Linked DNA regions of Sus scrofa. The protein of the gene in region 5 interacts with the protein of the main gene of each other region in a pairwise test. Links are inferred from orthologs where the notes say so. Each region holds a gene or a part of one and is shown on either strand. Other genes may lie near its edges. The genes, in order: SYCE1, FAM161A, MMAB, DZIP1L and SPERT.

Region 1 (3,790 bases), on a different chromosome or scaffold from region 5:
TAAGTGTCTTTTCCTTGCAAATATTTCACATTTGTCTTCAAGTAAACCTAAAGGGGCTCAGGCTTTACAGAGCAGGAAATGGGGCTTCCAGGAGCCTAAGCCCTTCCTGTTAGGTTCAGGTGGCAGCAGGGCCAGGTTAATAAACATGACTATAGCAGTTAGTATTTAGATGGACCAACCCATGCCTCATTTAATGCTCTGCTCTTTCAAAACACTTTGTATATTTTGAACTAGGGGCACCGCATTTTCACTTTACACTGAGTCCTGCAAATCACATAACTTATCCTGGTTGACAAGGCAAGGTCCTGAGCTCACCTTGCTGAACCTCATTAATCCGGTTAATCAGGACCTCAACCTTGGGCTCTAGGCTTCCCGCTGCAGGGAGAAAAGGAGGTTGAGTGACTATGACAGGACAGACAGAGGGAGGTGGATGCCCCTCCAAGGGCTTACATCTTGGGTAGGGGAGACAGGAACAGAGAGAGACAAAGTCAGATTGTGGTAACTGCGGTCAAGAGAAATAGGTAATGGATTAAAAAGTAAAGGAGCAGGACACGCTTCTTCAGATATGGCAAGACCTCTTGAGAGCCCCAAATCAAGTAGGGTGGGGTAGGCCTTGAAGTTCGCTGGGTGGGTGTGAGACAGTGCAAAGGCCTGCCTTGAGGTAGGAACATGGCTGGGAGGTGTCTGGTAAGGAAGCACAGAGGAGCAGATGTGAGGTGGAGGGAAGGGAGGTAAAGGTGAAAAACTGTTTTCAGCAAATCGCAGTGGGAGCCAAATGGATGGTGAGTAAGGGGAGTGTTAGGACAATGTTTTGCATTTTATTGCATTACACTTTAACTTTGAATCATGGGTCATATTTTTAACTCAGAAAATTAAGGTTTAAAAGTAAGAGAAAGCAAATGACTTCATTTCCCAAGTTTGTGAATATGGGGGCTTAGAATTGATTCTACTTCTGCCTGAACCCAAACCTCAGGCTGAGCCTTAGTTACAGAGGAGACGTGACCTTTCTGCAACTTCTTCACCATTTCCATCAAGTCTTCTATTTTTTGTGAGGACTTGGCCTGCCCTGTGGAGACAAAAACCAAACATTTAAGAATCATATAGGTGTGAGAAGCCTGAGGGAAGATCTGACAACCTTGGGCTGGAACTGAGGTGGGTTGAGGGCAGGTTTCCAGCCAAAGTGGTGCTTCTGCTCCTTGACCTTAAGTGGACACTGCACAAGGGATGAATCGGGTCATGGTCAGCTTTTCCTTAAGGATGAAATGACACCACAGATTTCCACTTACTAAAACTCAGGGCAAGGGAAGGAGTGCATGCTTACTACAGATACTGTTCAAGGCTTGGTCAAAGCGCAGGATGTAATAATGAAAGAAAAAAAGGTATTAAAATATTAAAAACTGGAAACAAGGAGTCAGAAGTCACTGTAAACAGCAGATGGCATAATCGTCTATAAAGTTCAAGAGAATATCACCAAAACAAAACAAAACAAATCCCCACAAAAAGACCAAAATACCTCACAAGGAATAGTGAGGAAATTTAATAAGATGTCTCATTTAAATGTATATGAATACAAAACGCTTTCCTACATACAATCATTACTCTGGAGCCTCCTAGAAAACCATTTTGTACTGACTTGCTTATACTCAAATAGGCATTTATTTTTAACTCCCTAATGAACTGGTAGATCTAGGCAATTATTATTAACATCAAAATAAAGATAGACATTATGAGCTATTTGATGTAAAAATACAACATAGGATTCTTGTCAAAAATGACACTAAAACATGTTAAGCCTCTCTATCTAAATAACAATTTGAAGGAAACACAAGGACAGAGGATCATTTTAAATGGCTCCTGTGGATGCAATTAGCAACATCCACACTGGGGAGCTTCACAGGAAAAACAACCCAGTTTAACTTAAATACATTTTTGGGTTATGGGGGAGGGAGAAAGGAAGACCCTTACATACAAAAAGAGATTAAAGACACCTATCACCCAATCTCGATAAATGGATCATATTTGCATCTTGATTCAATCAAATACACTATAGAAGAATATATATATTCTTTTTCAGATTATTTTCCATTACAGATTACAAGATATTGCATATAGTTCCTTGTGCCATACATCAGGTCCTTGTTGTTTAGGTTTTATATTTAGTAGTGTGTATCAGTTAATCTCAGTCCTAATGTATCCCTCCATTCCCCCTCTCCCCTTTGGTAACCGTAAGTTTGTTTTCTATGTCTGTGAGTCTATTTCTGGTTTGTAAATAAGTTCATTTGTATCATCGTTTTAGATTCCACACATAGGTGATATTTGTCTTTGTCTGATTTACTTCATTTAGTATGATTACCTCTAGGTCCATCCATTTTGCTGGAAATGCCATTATTTCATTCTTTTTATGGCTGAGTATTATTCAGTCATGTATATATATGCACCACCTCTTCTTTATCCAGTTATCTGTCCATGGACATTTAGGTTGCTTCCATGTCTTGGCTACTGTAAAAAGTACTGCTGTGACCCTGGGGTGCATATACCATTTCAAATTAGTTTTATTTTTTTCCAGATACATGCCTAGGAGTGGGACTGTTGGATCATATGGTAACCATATTTATAGTTTTTTAAGGAACCTCTCTACTGTTCTCCATAGTGACTGCACCAATTTATATTCCCACCAACAGTGTAGAAGGGTTCCTTTTTTCCACACCCTCTCCAGCATTTATTTGTAGACTATGATAGACATTCTTACTAGTGTGAGGTGATACCTCATTGTAGTTTTCTCTTTCTATATTAGCAATGTTCAGCATCTTTTCATGTGCCTGTGCATTCTTGCATATGCCTAAATTTTTCCATAATAAAGTTTAAGAATAGGACATACAGCTCCTTTATGCCCTTCATCCCAAATCTTCCATTTGCTACTCTTTCTGAACCTTGAGAATGAGTTGCAGATACAATGCTTCATTACCCCGAATATTCTGTTGTGAAGTTCTAAAGTACAGGGACACTCTCCTATATAGTAATAACCTCAGTATAACAATTAAAACTGAGAGAACAACAGTGATAGATATTAACATACAATCCTCAAATGGCATTTTAAAAATGTCCCCTACTTTTACATTTTAAATTTCCACTAGTATTAATTACATATTCTTAGTAGAAAATACAAATATTAAGGTTAAAAATGTTCCTTTACCTCTGCATTGCCCTCAAAATCCAAGTCCCTTCCTTGGAGCCATCAATTAGGAAAGCAGCCTCCAGACATCTTTCTGTGCAACCTACATAGTGCTATAATTATAATTTTTCTTGCTTTTCTCTCATAAAAATATCCTTTTTGAAAATCATGCTGTATCAGTGTAAATACATCTAATAATTTAAAAGTTGACATAGTTACCTTAATTTTAATTCCATTTCTTCCTCATTTCAGAAATCCACTCTACAGGTATTTCCCAGTAGAAATACCTCGGGATTTAGCTGTTCCCTCCCCATGTTTTCCTACCGCCATCTAGGCTCCAGTGACTACGTAGTCCATGCATCTATATGTTTTGTGTGATCCTCCAGGAAAGAGTGAAGTTGTAAAATTCCTAAGTTTCTAAGCCACATGGGATATGGTATTTCACCAGTTATAAGACACTGGTGAAACTGATTAAACATTCATCTAAATATGTTGTCTTATTTGAGAAATTTGGAAGAGCAATACTAAGAGGTTTCTTTAGTACAGTGGTGGCCACGGTAGGTGCTTAAGAAAAGGGAACTATATGCATCTGCCCTGTTTTTCTTTGTCCTTAGCTGA
Region 2 (3,790 bases), on a different chromosome or scaffold from region 5:
GGATGTGGGGAATATTTGTGAGAAAATATTCTGAAATAATTTTGTTCTGCACTTTTAGGTACACATTTTATTTTACATTCCACAAATAACATTATGTACAAACTTACTTAGAAGAGACACTAGCAGCTTCTTCCCTGGTGACCACTGGCTGAACTTCCTTTAAATTTAGTTTATTCTGGTACATTTTCTCTAACTTGGCCATAGTTTCCATGTGGGCAGCCTTCAGCTCTTCTAGTTTCCTGAAATACTCTTCATTAGAGTAGTAAATATCAGAAAAGTTCACAAAATCCTGTTTTTGTTCACTCACCCCAGAAACGTCGGTGTTAAAATCAGCCTGGTAGGAGGAAAAAAAATGTTATATGATGTCTGGAATTGAAAACCAAATTAAGCTGACACTGATTCCCAATGCTGCTTTTTTATTTTTATTTTTTTTTAGGGCTGCACCTGCAGCATATGAAAGTTCCCAGGCAAGGGGTCAAATCAGAGCTGTAGCTGCTGGCCTATGCCACAGTGACAGCAATGAAGGATCTGAGCTTTATCTGCAGCCTATACCATGGCTCAAGGCAACATCAGATCTTTAACCCAATGAGCAAGGCCAAGGATGGAACCCACATCCTCCTGGATACTAGTTGGGTTCGTTACCCACTGAGCCACAACAGGAACTCCCCCAAGGCTGTTTTAAATTTTAAAAGTCCCCTTAATCAGGTTATATGTTACATGTGGACTCTGTACATAATGGATTATAAGCTACTTGTAGCTAGATACATTTTCTCTTAATGACATTTTATTCAGAATGAGAGATACCAAGTTGCCCAAAAATAAATGCTATTTCATTTATTTTATAAAGGATGGTTAGATTCCCAGATCATGTACTAACCCATACACTGTGAAAGTATAAAACTAAATCTTTTTCTTTCTTTCTCTTTTTTTTTTTTTTTTTTTTTTTTTGGTCATTTTGCCTTTTCTAGGGCTGCTCCTGTGGCATATGGAGGTTCCCAGGATAGGCATCGAATCGGAGCTGTAGCCGCTGGCCTACGCCAGAGCCACAGCAACGCGGGATCCGAGCTGCTTCTGCAACCTACACCACAGCTCACGGCAATGCCAGATCCTTAACCCACTGAGCAAGGCCAGGGATCGAACCCGAAACCTCATGGTTCCTAGTTGGATTTGTTAACCACTGTGCCACGACGGGAACTCCTCTTTCTCTTTTCTTTCTTGACCACCCCAAGGCATATGGAAGTTCTGGGGCCAGGAATCAGATATAAGCCACCATTCCACGGCTGCAGTGAGACCAGATCCTTACCTCTCTGTGCCAACCAGGGATCCATCCCAGTGCTGCAGAGATGCCTCTGATCCCTCTGTGCCACAGCGGGAACTCCCAACCCACCCTTCATAGAGGCTCCTTCTGAGTGTAGGTTTACCTGAGATGAAGGGGAACACAGTTTCTCCTGCTGCAAACCGAGCAACCTCCCCCAGCTGGGCTCCTGCTGCGCGGGCCCCAGGGTGTGCCAGGGAAGAGAGGACAGTGGCACAGGGAATGGAGGGAACAGAGTGCTCAGGGACTTATCAAGGAGCCAGGAAGATGCCCTCCTGGATACTGGGGGATACCTCGGGAGGGAGGAGGAGGGTGTGGGAAGGGGTGGGAGGGACTTCCAGAACAGCCACTCCCCCGGGCTACAAAAACAGTAGCTGCCATGGATGACAGGGACTGTGGGGTAGATAAGAGAACAAGAAAGCAGAGGGGGGCTATTCTATTTACATGCCTGCAAGGGTACGACTGATCTTTTCCCCTCTTTCCTCTCACAAACCTTTCAAAGTTCTTTTAGCTCAAACAACTAAAGAGGTAAAACCCCACATTCTATACAAATACAAAAATTTTAATATTTTTTCATGTGGGAAACAATTGAAATTACTTATATGCATAAAAGGCTGCTGACCATGGTTTTAAATTAGCCTAGTGCCTGAAGGATACTCAAAATGAAAAAGGCATATTTGCCATAGAAAAGTATAGGTTCAGTCTGATGAAACTCTAGAAAATAAATCTGAGGGGTGTCTCCCAACAGGAAAATTCAGGAGTCAGTCATATTTATAGATATAACTTTTTAATGGGCTAAAAACAGTACAGGAGGCCAGGGTCGTATCACTTGGGACAACTTAGAGAAAACGAACGCAGGAAAACAAGTTTTTAGTAGAACTAGTGTGCAGAAATGTATTACCAAATAAATTGGAGAATTGCTTTAAGAGTCATACAACTCAATTAAGAGAATTGTCTGCTACCTGATGCTGTTTCTGCAGTTGCTCTTCACCATAGCCTTCTTGGCTGTGGGAATGAGTGTTCTATTAATTTCCTCACTCAGTTTTGAGGGACACACGGCATTCAGCTAGCTGCTGAAAGATACACATCAGATAAAAACTGCACCTTTGAGAAGCTTCCAGGTAGTTTAGGAGAGAACATGTAGATAAATAATCGATAGCAGACTCAAAATGAGACAGCACAACTGCTTCCTGCCCACGAGCAGCTCCCTGCTGAGCAAGGAGACAGATGAGTGACCACACATGACAATTTCAGACACCATGAGAACTCACAGAAGAAATACCTCATTCTGACTAGGGGAAAGTCTGCTCACTCCTTCAGATCTTTACTCAAATGTCAGCTTCCAAGCAAGGTCTTCACTGACATTCTACTCAAAATTACAACCTCCCCCTCTTGACTCATTGTCAGCCTCCATCTTCTGCTTTATTTCTCTCACCCCCGACTGACATGCTACATATCTCTGCTTATTTGTGTATCATATGCCTGCCCCCTACCAAAAAGTAAGTCTCACAAAAACAAGTATTTGTCAGCTTTGTTCACAGTTGTGTCCCCAATGACTGGAAAAGTGCCTGGCCAGTGGCAGACACTCAATAAATTTTTGTTGGATGAATGAATGTCCAGCTTAAAAAACACCAAGGAAAGACATTCTCTCACAAAGGACTGAAGCAGTCAAAGACATATTGGCTGCTCTAAAGAGCTATATTCAGAGTTCCCGTTGTGGCTCAGTGGAAACAAATCTGACTAGCATCCATGAGGACACAGGTTCAAACTCTAGCCTTGCTTAGTGGGTTAAGGATCTGGCATTGCCGTGAGCTGTGGTATAGGCCAGCAGCTGCGGCTCTGATTTGACCCCTAGCCTGGGAACTTCCATATGCCGTGGGTGCGGCCCCTGCCAAAAAAAAGGACCAAAAAAAAAAAAAAAAAAAGAGCTACATTCCACTGAGCATTAAGAAAGGAACTATTTTTCAAAATCCATCTTTAAATAGGTGGATACTACAAGGAACTGTTTTTAGGAGTTTCCATCATAGCTCAGCAGAAATGAATCTGACTAGCATTCATGAGGATGTGGGTTCAATCCCTGGCCTTGCTCAGTGGGTTAAGGATCTGGCGTTGACATGGGCTGTGGTGTAGGTAGCAGACAAAGCTCAGATCTGGCATTGCTGTTGTGTACTCCAGCAGCTAAAGCTCCAATTTGACCCCTAGCCTGGGAACTGCCGTATGCTATAGGTATGGCCCTAAAAAGACAAAAAACAGTTTTTGGACAAAAGTATCCATGTGCTCTTCCCTTTGTTCTTTTAGAACATCCTTTTTTAAAAAAGCCTTGGGAGTTCCCGTCATGGCGCAGTGGTTAACGAATCCTACTAGGAACCATGAGGTTGCGGGTTTGATCCCTGGCCTTGCTCAGTGGGTTAAGGATCCAGCGTTGCCGTGAGCTGTGGTGTGGGTTGCAGACACGGCTCAGATCCCACAGTTCTG
Region 3 (4,288 bases), on a different chromosome or scaffold from region 5:
CAAATAATCAGAGCTACAGCTGCCAGCCTATACCACAGCCACAGAAAGGCAGGATCTGAGCCTCATCTGCAACCTACACCACAGCTCACAACAACGCCGGATCTTTAACCCACTGAGCGAAGCTAGGGATCGAACCCAAAACCTCATGGTTCCTAGTCGGATTTATTTCTGCTGCGCCACGAAGGGAACTCCCTCAGCACAATTTTAAACTTTAGAAAATAGTATCATACTGATAGGTTCTTCTGGATCCTTTTTCTGTAAAACATAAGTTGTAGAGTTTTTTAATCTTCATTTTTTAAAATTTACTTTTACTTTTTATTATTATAGTTGATTTCCAATGTTGTGCCAATTTCTGCTGTACAGCAAAGAGACTCAGTCATGCAAATATATGTTCTTTTTTTTTTTTTTTTTTTTTTTTTTTTTTTTTTTTAGGGCCACACTCACAGCATATAGAGGTTCCCAGGCTAGGGGTCCAACCACAGCAACACAGGATCCAAGCTGTGTCTGCGACCTACACCACAGCTCATGGCAACACCAGATCCTTAAACCACTGAGGAAGGCCAGGAATGGTTCCTAGTTGGATTTGTTTCTGCTGCACCATGATGGTAACTCCCAAATATATATTCTCTCTCTCGTTTTTTTTTTTTTTTTTTTTAAGGCTCCACCTACGGCATATGGAAATTCCTGGGTCAGGGGTCCAATTAGAGCTGTAGCTGCCGGCCTATGCTACAGCCACAGCAACGCTGGATCCAAGCAATATCTGTGACCTATGCTGTAGTCTGTGGCAATGCCAGCTCCTTAAGCCACTGAGTGGGTCCAGGGATCAAACCCACATCCTCAAGGATACTATGTCAGGTTCTTAACCCTCTGAGCCACAACAGGAACGCCTATATCCTTTTTTTTATATATTATTTTCCATCATGGTCTATCCCAGGAGATTGGATATAGTTCCCTGTGGTATACAGTAGGAATTTATTTTTTTTTTTAGTATAATAACTATGTTTTTTCCATTTTAGGAAGTATAGTTGATTTACAATGTTGTGCCAATTGTTCTGGCATTTTAAAAATTATCAAAGTAATATGTGCTCACTATAAAAATAATGGAATACAGTAAAAATATGTATAGGAAACAACGAAAGCCTATCTATTCATTCCCCTCTCCCATAATTCAAGATCTCTCTCAGGTCCAAGGTGTAACTATATAATGTTCTTGGCATTTCTGAAAATATAAAGACACACACACTTGTATCCAATGGATTCCAATTTGAACTGCTCTGCAACTCACGTTTATCACTTAATATATCTTGGGCCCTTTCATGTCACATCACATTTTGATCTGTCACATACTTTGCAGTGTCTGCAAAGAAGGCAGAAGAACTTTAAAATGGAAGAATCTTCCATCTCTCTCTGTATTTTTCGCCTGTCCCCACCCTACCTTTGTCTCCTGTCTTGGTGTAGATCTTGGGGATTTTGGGCGTCTTTGAGGAAGGCTGTGGCCTAAGGAGAAACAGACAGCAAGAGGTGGTGAGTGGATGTAAATCAACTATAATGGAAAAAATAAAAATCTTTAAAAAAAGAGGTGGTGAGTGGGGATGGCCTACACCATGGGGCACCTCCATCAGTGGGTCACAGTTTGCTATCTGAACTCAATGGCAGCACTTATCTGCCTCTGCTTGGATCTCCTGTTATCTTTCCCCTCTGCTGCTCTTATTTTTAAGCTCTTTGTGGGCAAGCTCTGAATCTTGCCCACATCCATAGCTTCCCAGTAGCTGAAGTAGTGTAGCGCTCAATAAATACAGGCTGAAAGAATTTATCAATCATTTTCTGTAGTCTCTGTTCTGTGATAGGTAAATTAATGACACTATCACCTAGAATTATCTCTGGAAGCTTCCCAAGCCCTCAAGGGAGGCACTACCCATGACCTTCATTTTAATGAGGAATCTCTAGCTCACGAATGAGACTCACCTTCCCAGGTCATCCAGGGAGGAAGGAATCAAGCTGGGATTCTTGCCCATGACTACCTTACTCCACATTCCAAACAGTTACCTCTGTTCTACTCAAAACTTTGACCATCTACTCCACTAAGCCAGGGACTCTTGGAGTGAAAAAACCCTGGGCTATTTGCATACTGTGAAGCTCCCAAGTGCACTCCGAAATGAAGAACTGCCAAAACAGGGTTCAAAAACTGGCATTTTCAAATAGCAACATAACACTTTTAATACACACTTCAGCATTAAAAAGTGACATTAAAAGGTTATTCAAATGTTCAATTACGGATCTATTAAATATATTAATCCATTAAGTCAGGTTCTGAGGTCTGGGAATAGGGTGCAGATTTCAAGATATATGACAGCCACCTTTAGATTGTGTTGGTGTATCTCTGTGTCTTAAAGTATAAACTAAGTTGGAGATAGGTCAAAATCTGAATTGCGGCCCCTCCTGATTGTAAGGCCAGTCAAGATGACCCTCTTGGCCCACAGAGGATACATCCTGTCCTGATGAATGCTAGACTTCGTTTGGACTTGTCTTGTGCCAAGACACCTTGATTTCCAGCTTCCACAGAGCCTGTGTTGCCATGTGACGTCAGGGCTACAGAGCACGTCACCTGGGATAACTGCGGCGACGCCCCAGGGGTATGACGTAACCAGGGCGACGAAAACACAATTCACTGCAGGTACCCGAGTTATGCCTACCGTCCCAGGCAGGCACTCACCTCTCCCCGTCTTCCACGCCTTGGGGGCCACGGCTCTGAAAACGGAGACACAGTAGCCTGCGGGCACCAAGGCACCCACGCAGGCCAAGGCGACCTCCCGGGCCCCATATAGCCATGAGCCAGGCTTCTGATTGAGGGCTGACCCTGACAGGCTCCCGTCCAGGTTCCTGGATGACACCACCTACCGCCGGCCGCGCCACCACTCAGCCGCCGTCTTCCATTGGTCCGTGGCTCTCGCCCCAGGGCGGGACACTCCCAGGGATTTGTTTCCATTGGTTCACACAGGAGAGGGGCGGGGAAATCCACGAGGACTTGGCTAGCAACGTCTATTGGCTACTACTCAAGCCAATTGGTAAAAAGAGACTCCCGGCCCGCGCGCTCTGATTGGCTGGGCGGATGGGCTCGGCCACCACCCCATGGCGCTTCAGAGCTCGCGGGTTGAGTCCGGGAGCTGTTCGGGATCTGGAGCCGAGAGCCTGCAGTCGCAGGTGAGAAATCGGAGTCGTGGTCCCTGGTGGGGCCAAGTCCGAGGCTGAGACCTAGGACGACCCCGGCTGGGCTCTTGGCTTCTCTGGCTCAGTTTCCCCAATTCTGAGCATCCGTCCTGAGTGGCCCACGACCTCGAATCTGGCAGACGGGATTTTGATTTTTGGGCAAGCAACAGGTTTCCCGGCTCCGAGCCTGAGTTTCCCCTCCCCTTCTAAGAAACGGTACTTAGCTCATACTGCGGTTCAGGCCTCGTTCTATTGAGGTGATATACGGAAAGCCTTAAATAGATGGTAATTTTATACGGTTTACAAAAATCTTAAATGCACACAACGTGCACCTAGCAAGTTACTTTCTAGCAGTCTGTCTTGTAGAGATTCTCGCTTAAATGTCACCAAAAAAAAAAAAAAAAAAAAAAAGGAGGGGGTTGTAAGAGCTGTTTTCTGTGGCCTATTTTTAATTATGAAATGTTAGTAACAGCCTAAATGTCCAGGAAAGAGTTCTTTCTGGTCCATGATTTCATTTACATTTCTACCTTTATGGAGTTCCTTCTGTGGATCAGTGGGTTAAGAAGCTGCCTGCAGTGGCCTGGGTGCACCTGCAGCTCTGATTCAGTCCCTGGCCGGGGAACTTCCACATGCTAAGAGTGCAGACATTTTTTAAAAAATTGTAGTAATAATAAAATTGCAACCAAGAACCAAGCCAGTAATAAGTAGCTGTCAGCAATTGAGTGATTATGATGTACCAGACATTGCTGTTTCCCTTCCATTATTAACCTTCTCAAAATCCATCGAGTTAAGTTCACTTATTGCTCCATGCAGCTTTTTGTGTCTGTGTGTGTGTCTTTTTTTTAGGGCCGCCCCTGCGGCATATGGAAGTTCCTAGGCTAGGGGTCGAATTGGAACTGTAGCTGCTGGCCTACACCACAGCCACAGCAACACCAGAACAAAGCTGCATCTGTGACCTACACCACAGCTCCCGGCAACACCAAATCCATAACCCACCAAGTGAGGCCAGGGATTGAACCCCTGTCCTCATGGATAGTAGTTGGGTTTGTTACCATTGAGCCAAGAGGAGAACTCCTCATGT
Region 4 (4,547 bases), on a different chromosome or scaffold from region 5:
AGCTGCCACAGCAGTGCACACAGCCACAGCAGTGCAGGATCCCATCCTCATCTGCAACCTATACCACAGCTCACAGCAAGGCGGGATCCTTAACCCACTGAGCAAGGCCAGGGATGGAACCCGAGTCGTCCTGGATACGACTCGGGTTCGTTAACCACCGAGCCACCATGGGAAATGAGAGGAAATATTTTTAAAAGACAATGCCAGAGTTCTCATCATGGCTCAGCAGGTTAAGAACTCAACTAGCATCCACAAGGATGAGGGTCTCGCTCAGTGGGCTAAGGATCCAACGTTGCTGGGAGCTGCGGTGTAAGTTGCAGACATGGCTCAGATCTGGCATTGCTATGGCTGTGGTATAGGCCCCTAGCCCGGGAACTTCCATATGCCACAGGTGAGGCCCTAAAAAGAAGAAAGAAAGAAATAGATAAAAAGACAACGTCCTTGTTCGGTCGAAAGCCTATTTTAAGTTTTTGCCACAGAAGAATTATCTTTAAAAATCAAAGATGGGGATTTGACTGACATGTCTTCAAAGTATTTTAGAGGGAAAGGACTTCATACTGATAAGATCAATCTTCCCAGATCAAAACTGTCAAAAACAAACACTAATTTTCACATCTAAAAGAACAGCATTTGAGGAGTTCCCATTGTGGCTCTGCGATTAATGAACCCAACTAGGATCCATGAGAATGCAGATTCGATCCCTGGCCTCTATAAGTGGGTTAAGGATCCAGTGTTGTCATGAGCTGCAGTGTGGGTCGCAGACACAGCTCAGATCCCTCTTTGCTGTGGCTGTAGCGTAGGCCGACAGCTACAACTCAAATTTGACCCTTAGCCTGGGAATCTCCATATGCTGCAGGCGTGGCCCCAAAAAGACCAAAAAAAAAAAAAAAAAAAAAAAAAAAGGCAAAAATAAAAGAATGACAGGAGTTCCCGTCGAGGCTCAGTGGTTAACAAATCCGACTAGAAACCTTGAGGTTGCGGGTTTGATCCCTGGCCTTGCTTGGTGGGTTAAGGATCCAGCGTTGTCATGAGCTGTGGTATAGGTCACAGATGCGGCTCGGATCCCGTGTTGCTGTGGCTCTGGCATAGGCCAGCAGCTACAGCTCCGATTCGACCCCTAGCCTGGGAACCTCCATATGCCGAGGGAGTGGCCCTAGAAAAGGTAAAAAGACAAAAAATAAAATAAAAAATAAAATAAAGTAAGATAAAACAAAATAAAATAAAATAAAGCAAAACAAAACAAAAATAAAAGAATGACAACTGAAAACATACTATTGTTTTCTTTCCCATAGAGAAGTCATTGCTTCTTGGCAGAGCTTCTCCAACTTCAGAGCCTGGGCCATCAGACCCTCAAAATCCTCCCTAGAGGTATAAGGCCCAGTGACAGGTGGTATTGCAGGTGGATAACCCTGCTGACCAGGGCTGGCCCTCCCTGCAAGGGGCCCACAAGGAGGTCCAGAACAGTGCACCAAGTTGTCCCCTTCCCTGCTCCTGTCAGTTTCAGCTGAGCGACAAGCCTTTTGACCAAATAAGTTCCAGCTTCCTGGCAGAACCCACTTATGCTGTGCAAATGAATTCAGGTTTCTGTTCCCAACCCGAGGCATATAACTTCACAAGACCATTCTATCAAGTTGGATGGCATCCACAAAGATTTCTACCACAGACAGAGGTCTCCAGAGCATTGATGCTGACAGAGACAGAAGATGGCTCATCAGCCACTTGACTGGAGAATCTGCCTTCTCTAAGTGAGGCTGTTCTCACTGGCCAGTCCTCTGCTCCAGGGTGAGATGTGAGGGACTGTGACAAAGGAGAGGAACCACCCACCCTATCTGCAGGCCACAGTCTGAGCACCTCACACTCACAAAGCCTCCCTTCAAAGTCCTGTTAGAAACCACATTTCAAGAAACTGCTGGGACGGGCAAGCCCTGGGCCCTAAGTAGTGCTGGGTGAACGGTGGCCCCTGCCCAGGCCTCCTCGACCCCTCTTCTGAGCTCCCTTCTGGACCCTAGTCCTGTACTAAATAAGTGTCCCATGGACTTTTATCTGCAGCCACCTCAAAATAAAAATATGATCGCTGCCTCCTGCTAAACCCCAGCCTCGGAGTGCAAGGCAGAGGAACCAGAGGTGCTAAACTGTTTTTAAATGAACTCGTTAGTCAAAGGTCTCCCTTTACCTACAGAACGCAAAGCAGCAAACCTCTAACCCCACCCCAATCATTTTACTTTTTTCAAAAAGTGAAAATCCAAGGTCATCCTCCCAGCGAAGCCCTGCCCTGCTCACCTCCGGGTACCTCTGTCCCTATCAGGCCAAGCAGCCAGGGTGGGGACGCCAGGCTCAAGAGGCGAAGCTGAGGCGTAGAGTCCGAAGCTCCCGCACCTCACCCCGCAGGACTAGGGAGCCGCGGCTGTTTAACGTCCTGAGGCCCGCGGGTCGGGTCACTCGGACTGCACCACGCTCCCCACCCCTGCCGGTTCCGGGCCGAATTCCTGGCATAGTTTCCCTACGCGGCCCAGCTCAGCTGGGGGGGTCCTCTGAGCCGAGGGAGCGAGCAATGGTCCCGAGCGCGTGACTCCGCTCCTCCGCCCGGCTTAGCCTCCGGGCTCGCTCCACCGCCTCCGACCGACGTGCTTCCAGGAATCAGCGCCGCCGCGCGGGCCTGGGATGCTTCCTAAGCCCCGGCTAGCCCGGCCTCTCCCGGGCGCGGGACAGAGCCGCCTCGCCACCCAGTGCTGCTGACCTGCGGGGCTGGGGGCACAGAAAACCTCTGGGCGCCGGCCCAAGAAGGCTTGGGGTCTCTGATGCCTCCAGCTCCCGCGACAGCTGCTGGAGGGGCGGAGCTTCTCCGCAAACACCCCCCCCCCCCCCCCCCCGGGACAAGCTATTTTTAGGTCCGTTAGGGAAGCGGGAAGGAGAGAATGCCACGTTTAATCTGTCAGGAAAATCCAGGAACCTAATGAGTGGCTCCCAGACCTTGATGAAAGGCCGGGACGTCCTCCGTCCCCCACCCCAGACACTCACGCACACAGCCCCCCACCCATTCACCCAGTACAGCCGCTGGCCTGCTGAGAGCCCCTGGGCAGCTTTAACCACCCACCCCCTCCCCCCGGGCCGACAGGCCTGCCAATCTAAACTAAACTGAACTGAACTGAATTAAGCAACTAAAGTAAACTAAAGGGACCTTCTTGGTGTCTGACCCAGACCCATGCTCCTCCTTTAAGAGAGTCCCAGATCTGGTCAGATGGCAACCACCTTCCCCCCAACCCCCAACCTCCTGTGGATACAGCTGGGAAACCCAGAACTAAAGAATTATTTCTCTCTTGAAAACAGTCTCTGACCTCTTCCCATAGCCATCTGTTGCTTTACTGAAACTCGGATTTCTAACTCCATTTTTTTATTTTTTTGAGCCTTCCTCCCACTCCGGCCTCAGTCTGCCAAGTTGTGTCATTAGGCATTCCAAGCAAAATTGCATGGGAGCAAATGTTGGCAAGAATGTGGAGAAACTGGATTACCTATGCACTACTGTGAGAATGTAAAATGGTACAACCACCATGGGAAAAGAGAATGGTGGTTCCTCAAAAAATTAAACATGGAATTACTGTATGATCCAGCACTTGCACTTCTGAGTATACACACAAAAGGATTACACGCAGAAACTCAAACAGATATCTGTACACCCATGTTTATAGCAGCATTATTCACAATAGCCAGAAGGTGGGAATAACCCAATGTCCATCAACAGATGAATGGACAAAAAAATGTTATATGTATGTGTGCGTGTGTGTGTATAGACATACACAACATTATATATATATATGTGTGTGTGTGTGTGTGTGTGTGTGTGTGTATATATGTATATGTATATATATCAGCCTTAAAAGGAATGAAATCTGATACATGCTTCAACATGAATGAACCTTGAAAACATTCTTCTAAGTGAAATTAGTCAGACACAAAGAGACACATATAATTCTACTTACACAAGGTACCTAGAATAGTCAAGCTCATAGAGACTGAAAGTAGAATGATGGCTGCCAGGGATGGAGGGAGGAGGGAATAGGAAGTTATCGCCTAATGGGTACAGAGTTTCAGTTTGGGATGATATAAAATTTCTAAAGATGGATAGCACTGCTTGTTGCACAGCAGTGTGAATGTCCTTAATACCACTGAGCAATACACTTGAAAATGGTTAAAAGTGTAAATGTATGGTATGTATATATTACCAAAAAAAAATTTTTTTTTGAGGGCTGCACCTGCGGCATATGTAGGTTCCCAGGCCAGGGATTGAATCGGAGCTTCAGCTGTGGGCCTACACCACAGCCACAGAAACGCAGGATCTGAGCCATGTCTTCCACCTACACCACAGCTCATGGCAATGCCGGATCCTTAACCCACTGATTGAAGCCAGGGATCGAACCTACATCCTCATGGATACTAGCCGGGTTCGTTAACTGCTGAGACACGACGGGAACTCCTTGCCAAAAAATTTGAAGTGTTAGGAAAGGGGGGTGGACAGGGATCAGACCTAAGTAGGGATGTCAGTGAACCAC
Region 5 (4,362 bases):
AAGGATCTGGGGTTGCCGTGAACTGTGGTGTAGATCGCAGATGCAGCTTGGATCTGGTGTTGCTGTGGCTGTGGTGTAGGCTGGTGGCTACAGCTCCAATTGGACCCCTAGTCTGGGAATCTCCATATGCTGTGGGTGCGGCCCTTAAAAAAAAAAAAAGAATCTTAGAAAAGGTGGTAGGTTTAGGCACCTCCACTCCAAAAACTTTCAGAAGGCTTTGCCATCAACTGTAAAATATCTTATCAGATATCACTTTCACATCCTTTCAGACTCAGATTTTCATAAAGTACATTATTAGCAAGAAGGGATAAGTGAGCAGTAGAAAGTCTTGTTTTCTGGGTGAGCATCTGAGGCCCAGAGAAGGGGCCGGGAAGCAGAAATCCATTTATTTTCTCTTTTCCGCAGCACTCGAGGCCAAATTTTACAAGAAAAAGAGATACCAGATGTGAAAGCCTAGAAATTCCAATCAATGTGGTTCTGCCTCAGGTAGGGATAATCACAGAAGGATGCAACCCTTCAGTTAGCCAGAATAACCCTCCCCTTTCAAAACTCTAGCCTGAGGACATGGAGCAGGCAGAGCCAGCAAGGCCTCCGATTCTAGTTGTAGGGCAGCTGCCAAGCCAGCAGTGTGGCTGGGGGAGGGCACTTAAGCCATTCTGAGTCTTGAATGGGGGGTGGGGAGGGAGCTTGTTAGGTGATCTGATAAGATCTTCCGGCCCTACCCCTTGAAATCTCTGTGACACTCTGAAATAAGCCAGTCTCTCCAAAATTAGATCTTTTGGCGTTGGCTGTTCTGCAACTTCTCTGGATTTCTGGCAGGTCCTGGGAGGTGGCTGGCAGACAATGAGATCTGAGACTTGGAATCAAAAACGCAAGACCTGGAGTTCCCATTGCGGCCCAGCACTAACAAACCCAAGTAGTATCCATGAGGACACGGGTTCGATCCCTGGCCTCATCCAGCGGGTTAAAGATCCGTTGTTGCTGTGAGCACTGGTGTGGGTCGCAGAGGAGGCTCGGATCTTATGTTGCTGTGGCTGTGGTGTAGGCCAGCGGCTACAGCTCCAATTCAACCCCTAGCCTGGGAACCTCCATATGCCGCCGGTGTGGCCATACAAAGAAAAACAAACAAACAAAAAACAAAACCAAAAAACATATGACTTGAACCCATGAGGAGACAACCTAGGACTCAGCCCAAGGGGTGCAGGGTCATCTGGGGGTGTCAGGAGAATTAAGACCTGCTTTTTGCCCAAGACAAGAGTATGGGGGGGCGGGGCTTGCAGGATTCCGAATGGAAGCCCGTGAATGGATGACGGGCTGGAGATTCTCAGCTCTCCGCCTGCTAAGCAGCCGTTTCCCTGGAGGGGTTCTCCTGATTGGATTGTTTCCATGGCTATGTCACAAAGGGGGGGCAGCCTTGCTTCTTCAGAGTCACCTAAGGCCCTGCTGGAAGATCATGGCTGTGCAGCCGGAGGGGCTGAAATGTAGGGCGGAGGAATCCAGCGTAGAGGTAGCCACCCAGAGAGCTCTGTCCAGGGCTGTGTAGGAACAGGACTGACTGCCCCTGGGCATCCTGGCCTTTCGGAGGACGTGAGGCACTGCTGCTGCGCACAAGTCCTGTGTCAGGTTCCGGACCCTCAGCAGGATGCTCCAGGCCGGCAGTCCTGGGTGGGGGAAGGGTGCGTCTCTAAGTTTAGATGAGATGTGGGCGCGTTCAGGTCCGGTTTGTTCAGGGTGGTGTGGCTGTAGTCTGTAAGTTTAGATGATCTGAACTGGGCCACCTCTAGGACTGTGAGGGACCAGTGTGCTGACTCGATCTCCCCAGAGGAGATTGTGCATGGCTGGCGGCGGGGCAAGGACCGATCTGCTTAACACGGCGGGGGTTGGGGGGGGAGAGAGGGAGATGCCCTGAGCACTGATGTGTGATGTGATCACGTGGTGGGCATGGGGCCAAGCAGCGTGAGGGAGACTGTGTAGGAATTGAAACCCAGAAGCCCCACTAGTAAGGCAGGGCTGGAGCTGGAGGCTTGAAACCAGGTCAGTGCCTCTTCCTCTGCTGTGCCCCCGGCTGGGCACAGGCCAGCTGCGTCTTCCCTGGCTTTTAGGACATGGTACCTCCCCTCCCCCCCATCTTTACTGCCTACCCCCGAGCTCCCTGCAGGTCTCTGCCACATTCTGCTTCCTTCTGAGACCAAGTCCATTCGTCGCAGCAGGGAACAGCCACAAGCAGCCCTGAGCCCTGCATTGCCAGAAAGCGCCTCTGGCCTCCTGGCTCCCAAACAAGCCGCCAGGCACGCATCTCAGTTACATTGCAGATGCCTATGGCTCACTGTTTGTTATCACCCTGTGGTCTTTTCAGGTCTTATTGATTTTCAGTTTTTCTTCCTCACATTAGGGACTTGTACTTTCTGAGCTCTTTCCCTCCAGCGCGTTAACCATCAGTGCCCAAGCTCTCTGCCCTCCTGGGTCCTTTTGTACATAACAATTCAGTTCGGGCGGAGGGGGGGGGTCGCAGTTCCCCAGTGAGCGCTCTCTGGGAACTTCCTAAAGGCACTGTTTACTGCCAGACCATTGATGCAGGACCTACACCAGGTCAGGATGCATTCTGACAGCGACCCCCTTCCACTCCTGCCGCCCCCCATCCCTCTCTGTTCCCTTGTCCCAGTCCCCTGGGTTTGGGTTTGTTCTTCAGAAGCTATGGACTCTGCCGACCATGCCTGCACCTCTGCCAGTTTGAATAAGCTTTAGGAAGAAGATGTCAGAAGATTCCGTGTTCAACAATTAGCAAAAATGAGCACAGAGGATGGCAGATGACATCTTTATCCTCTTTGCTGTTAATGTTATGATTCTATCAAGATCAATCACATTGACCTGTGAATTATCCTCTTATCTGCTGGCATTTATGAAAACCAACATTGACTTTCTCATGGCACTCGGGAGCAGAGTTAATTTAAAAATATGATAATGAGGCTCAGGCTTATCACCTGGTCTGAAAATTAGTGGCGTGGCTGGTCTTTCCTTCCAGCATCCTGGGGCCTCTCAGCTTCACACGCCTGAAAGGGAACCTCCGGTGGCTGAATGTTCTGTGATTGTAACCCTCAGTGACGCTGCCAAAGCAGGGCTTTAATGGACTTGGTCGGAGTTCCCAGTGTGGTGCAGGGGAAACAAATCTGACTAGGAACCATGAGGTTGTGGGTTCGATCCCTGGCCTTGCTCAGTGGGTTAAGGATCTGGTGCTGCCGTGAGCTGTGGTGTATGTTGTAGATGGCGTTGCTGTAGCTGTGGTGTAGGCCGGCAGCTACAGCTCTGGTTAGACCCCTAGCCTGGGAACCTCCATATGCCACAGGTGCAGGCCTAAGAAGACAAAACAAAAAAAACAAAACACGAGATGCTGGGGAGAAGGACAGGCCTGATGCTAAGGACAGATCCCCAACCACAGGGGGGATTTAGGCATCTGTGCGGGAGATGTTGGTGCCCAGAGCCCTTCCTGGGCCCTCAGCATGAATGCATCCTACTTATGTCACAGCTGGGAGCACATTGCTCTGAGGCCAACCTGTTTGGTTGCCTGGCTAATAAAGCCTTTGGAAAGAACCCCACAGCTATGAGTCTTCCCCTCCTGCATCCTGCATCCTTCTTTGCATCCCCTTCTTCCACGGGGAATCCCACCTTTTCCTCTCCCACCTCCTGGGTCTGCATCCACATGCCAGGGCACTGCCCACAGATCAGGGAGGAGACCAATCCTTTTCTTCATGGGAAACCTGGCCAGGCTGCTCTGGGCGCTGGGATCACTCTGGAACTTTCCGGGTGTTCCAGGAGCTTTTTATGGGCACGAACCCCTTGTTGTGAAATGTGTGGTCCTAATTCCCAGGACTGGGAACGTCAAAAAAACCTAAGGCATGGGTCACTGTCCCTAGAGAATTATATTTTATTCATCCGGGGAGAAGATGGGATGGGACATAGGAGAACCACTGCAAAGTAATGATAGCAACACACATGCATAATAAAATATCTGGACATTGCGAAGCGCTAGAATGAGCATGCAGTTTGGAGTCAGATATCCTGGTTTTAAACCCTTGCTGGCTGTGTGATCTCAGGTAGAAACACAGTAGCTCCTTTCAGTAAGATATTGCCTATAAATATGGAAATCAATTAGCACACCATCACATAGTAGTCATTCAGTAAGTGTTATTCCCTTTTCCTTGTTCCATACAGTATAAGGAAATGATAAGCAACTTCTGAATCCACACTATTCTTGCTTGTTTGTATCTCTCTATAAAAAAGATGCCATTCTCCTTTTATTTTTTAACTCTACAACAAACTCTCTGAAATAAATAAGGCAGATGTTAGCAAAACTGCTTTGGATGG

The links.
Region 1: the proteins of SPERT (region 5) and SYCE1 interact in binary tests that used the Homo sapiens proteins (3 or more experiments, as listed by UniProt). The two-hybrid records come from large-scale screens. The link is inferred for Sus scrofa from reciprocal best matches to the Homo sapiens genes CBY2 and SYCE1.
Region 2: the proteins of SPERT (region 5) and FAM161A interact in binary tests that used the Homo sapiens proteins (3 or more experiments, as listed by UniProt). The two-hybrid records come from large-scale screens. The link is inferred for Sus scrofa from reciprocal best matches to the Homo sapiens genes CBY2 and FAM161A.
Region 3: the proteins of SPERT (region 5) and MMAB interact in binary tests that used the Homo sapiens proteins (3 or more experiments, as listed by UniProt). The two-hybrid records come from large-scale screens. The link is inferred for Sus scrofa from reciprocal best matches to the Homo sapiens genes CBY2 and MMAB.
Region 4: the proteins of SPERT (region 5) and DZIP1L interact in binary tests that used the Homo sapiens proteins (3 or more experiments, as listed by UniProt). The two-hybrid records come from large-scale screens. The link is inferred for Sus scrofa from reciprocal best matches to the Homo sapiens genes CBY2 and DZIP1L.

The regions. Positions count from the first base shown.
Region 1 is NC_010456.5:141,731,110-141,734,899, forward strand, and holds part of SYCE1 (synaptonemal complex central element protein 1), read right to left. Parts: intron 1,067-3,790; coding exon 1,004-1,066; intron 376-1,003; coding exon 316-375; intron 1-315. UniProt on the Homo sapiens protein: Major component of the transverse central element of synaptonemal complexes (SCS), formed between homologous chromosomes during meiotic prophase. Requires SYCP1 in order to be incorporated into the central element.
Region 2 is NC_010445.4:79,958,964-79,962,753, reverse strand, and holds part of FAM161A (protein FAM161A), read right to left. Parts: intron 2,386-3,790; exon of another isoform or gene 1,304-2,385; intron 335-1,303; coding exon 108-334; intron 1-107. UniProt on the Homo sapiens protein: Involved in ciliogenesis.
Region 3 is NC_010456.5:41,356,195-41,360,482, reverse strand, and holds the start of MMAB (cob(I)yrinic acid a,c-diamide adenosyltransferase, mitochondrial), read right to left. Parts: upstream 2,897-4,288; 5' UTR 2,830-2,896; coding exon 2,714-2,829; intron 1,498-2,713; coding exon 1,436-1,497; intron 1-1,435. UniProt on the Homo sapiens protein: Converts cob(I)alamin to adenosylcobalamin (adenosylcob(III)alamin), a coenzyme for methylmalonyl-CoA mutase, therefore participates in the final step of the vitamin B12 conversion.
Region 4 is NC_010455.5:78,913,790-78,918,336, forward strand, and holds the start of DZIP1L (zinc finger protein DZIP1L), read right to left. Parts: upstream 2,844-4,547; 5' UTR 2,281-2,843; intron 1-2,280. UniProt on the Homo sapiens protein: Involved in primary cilium formation. Probably acts as a transition zone protein required for localization of PKD1/PC1 and PKD2/PC2 to the ciliary membrane.
Region 5 is NC_010453.5:21,617,760-21,622,121, reverse strand, and holds the start of SPERT (spermatid-associated protein), read left to right. Parts: upstream 1-1,419; 5' UTR 1,420-1,453; coding exon 1,454-1,507; intron 1,508-4,362.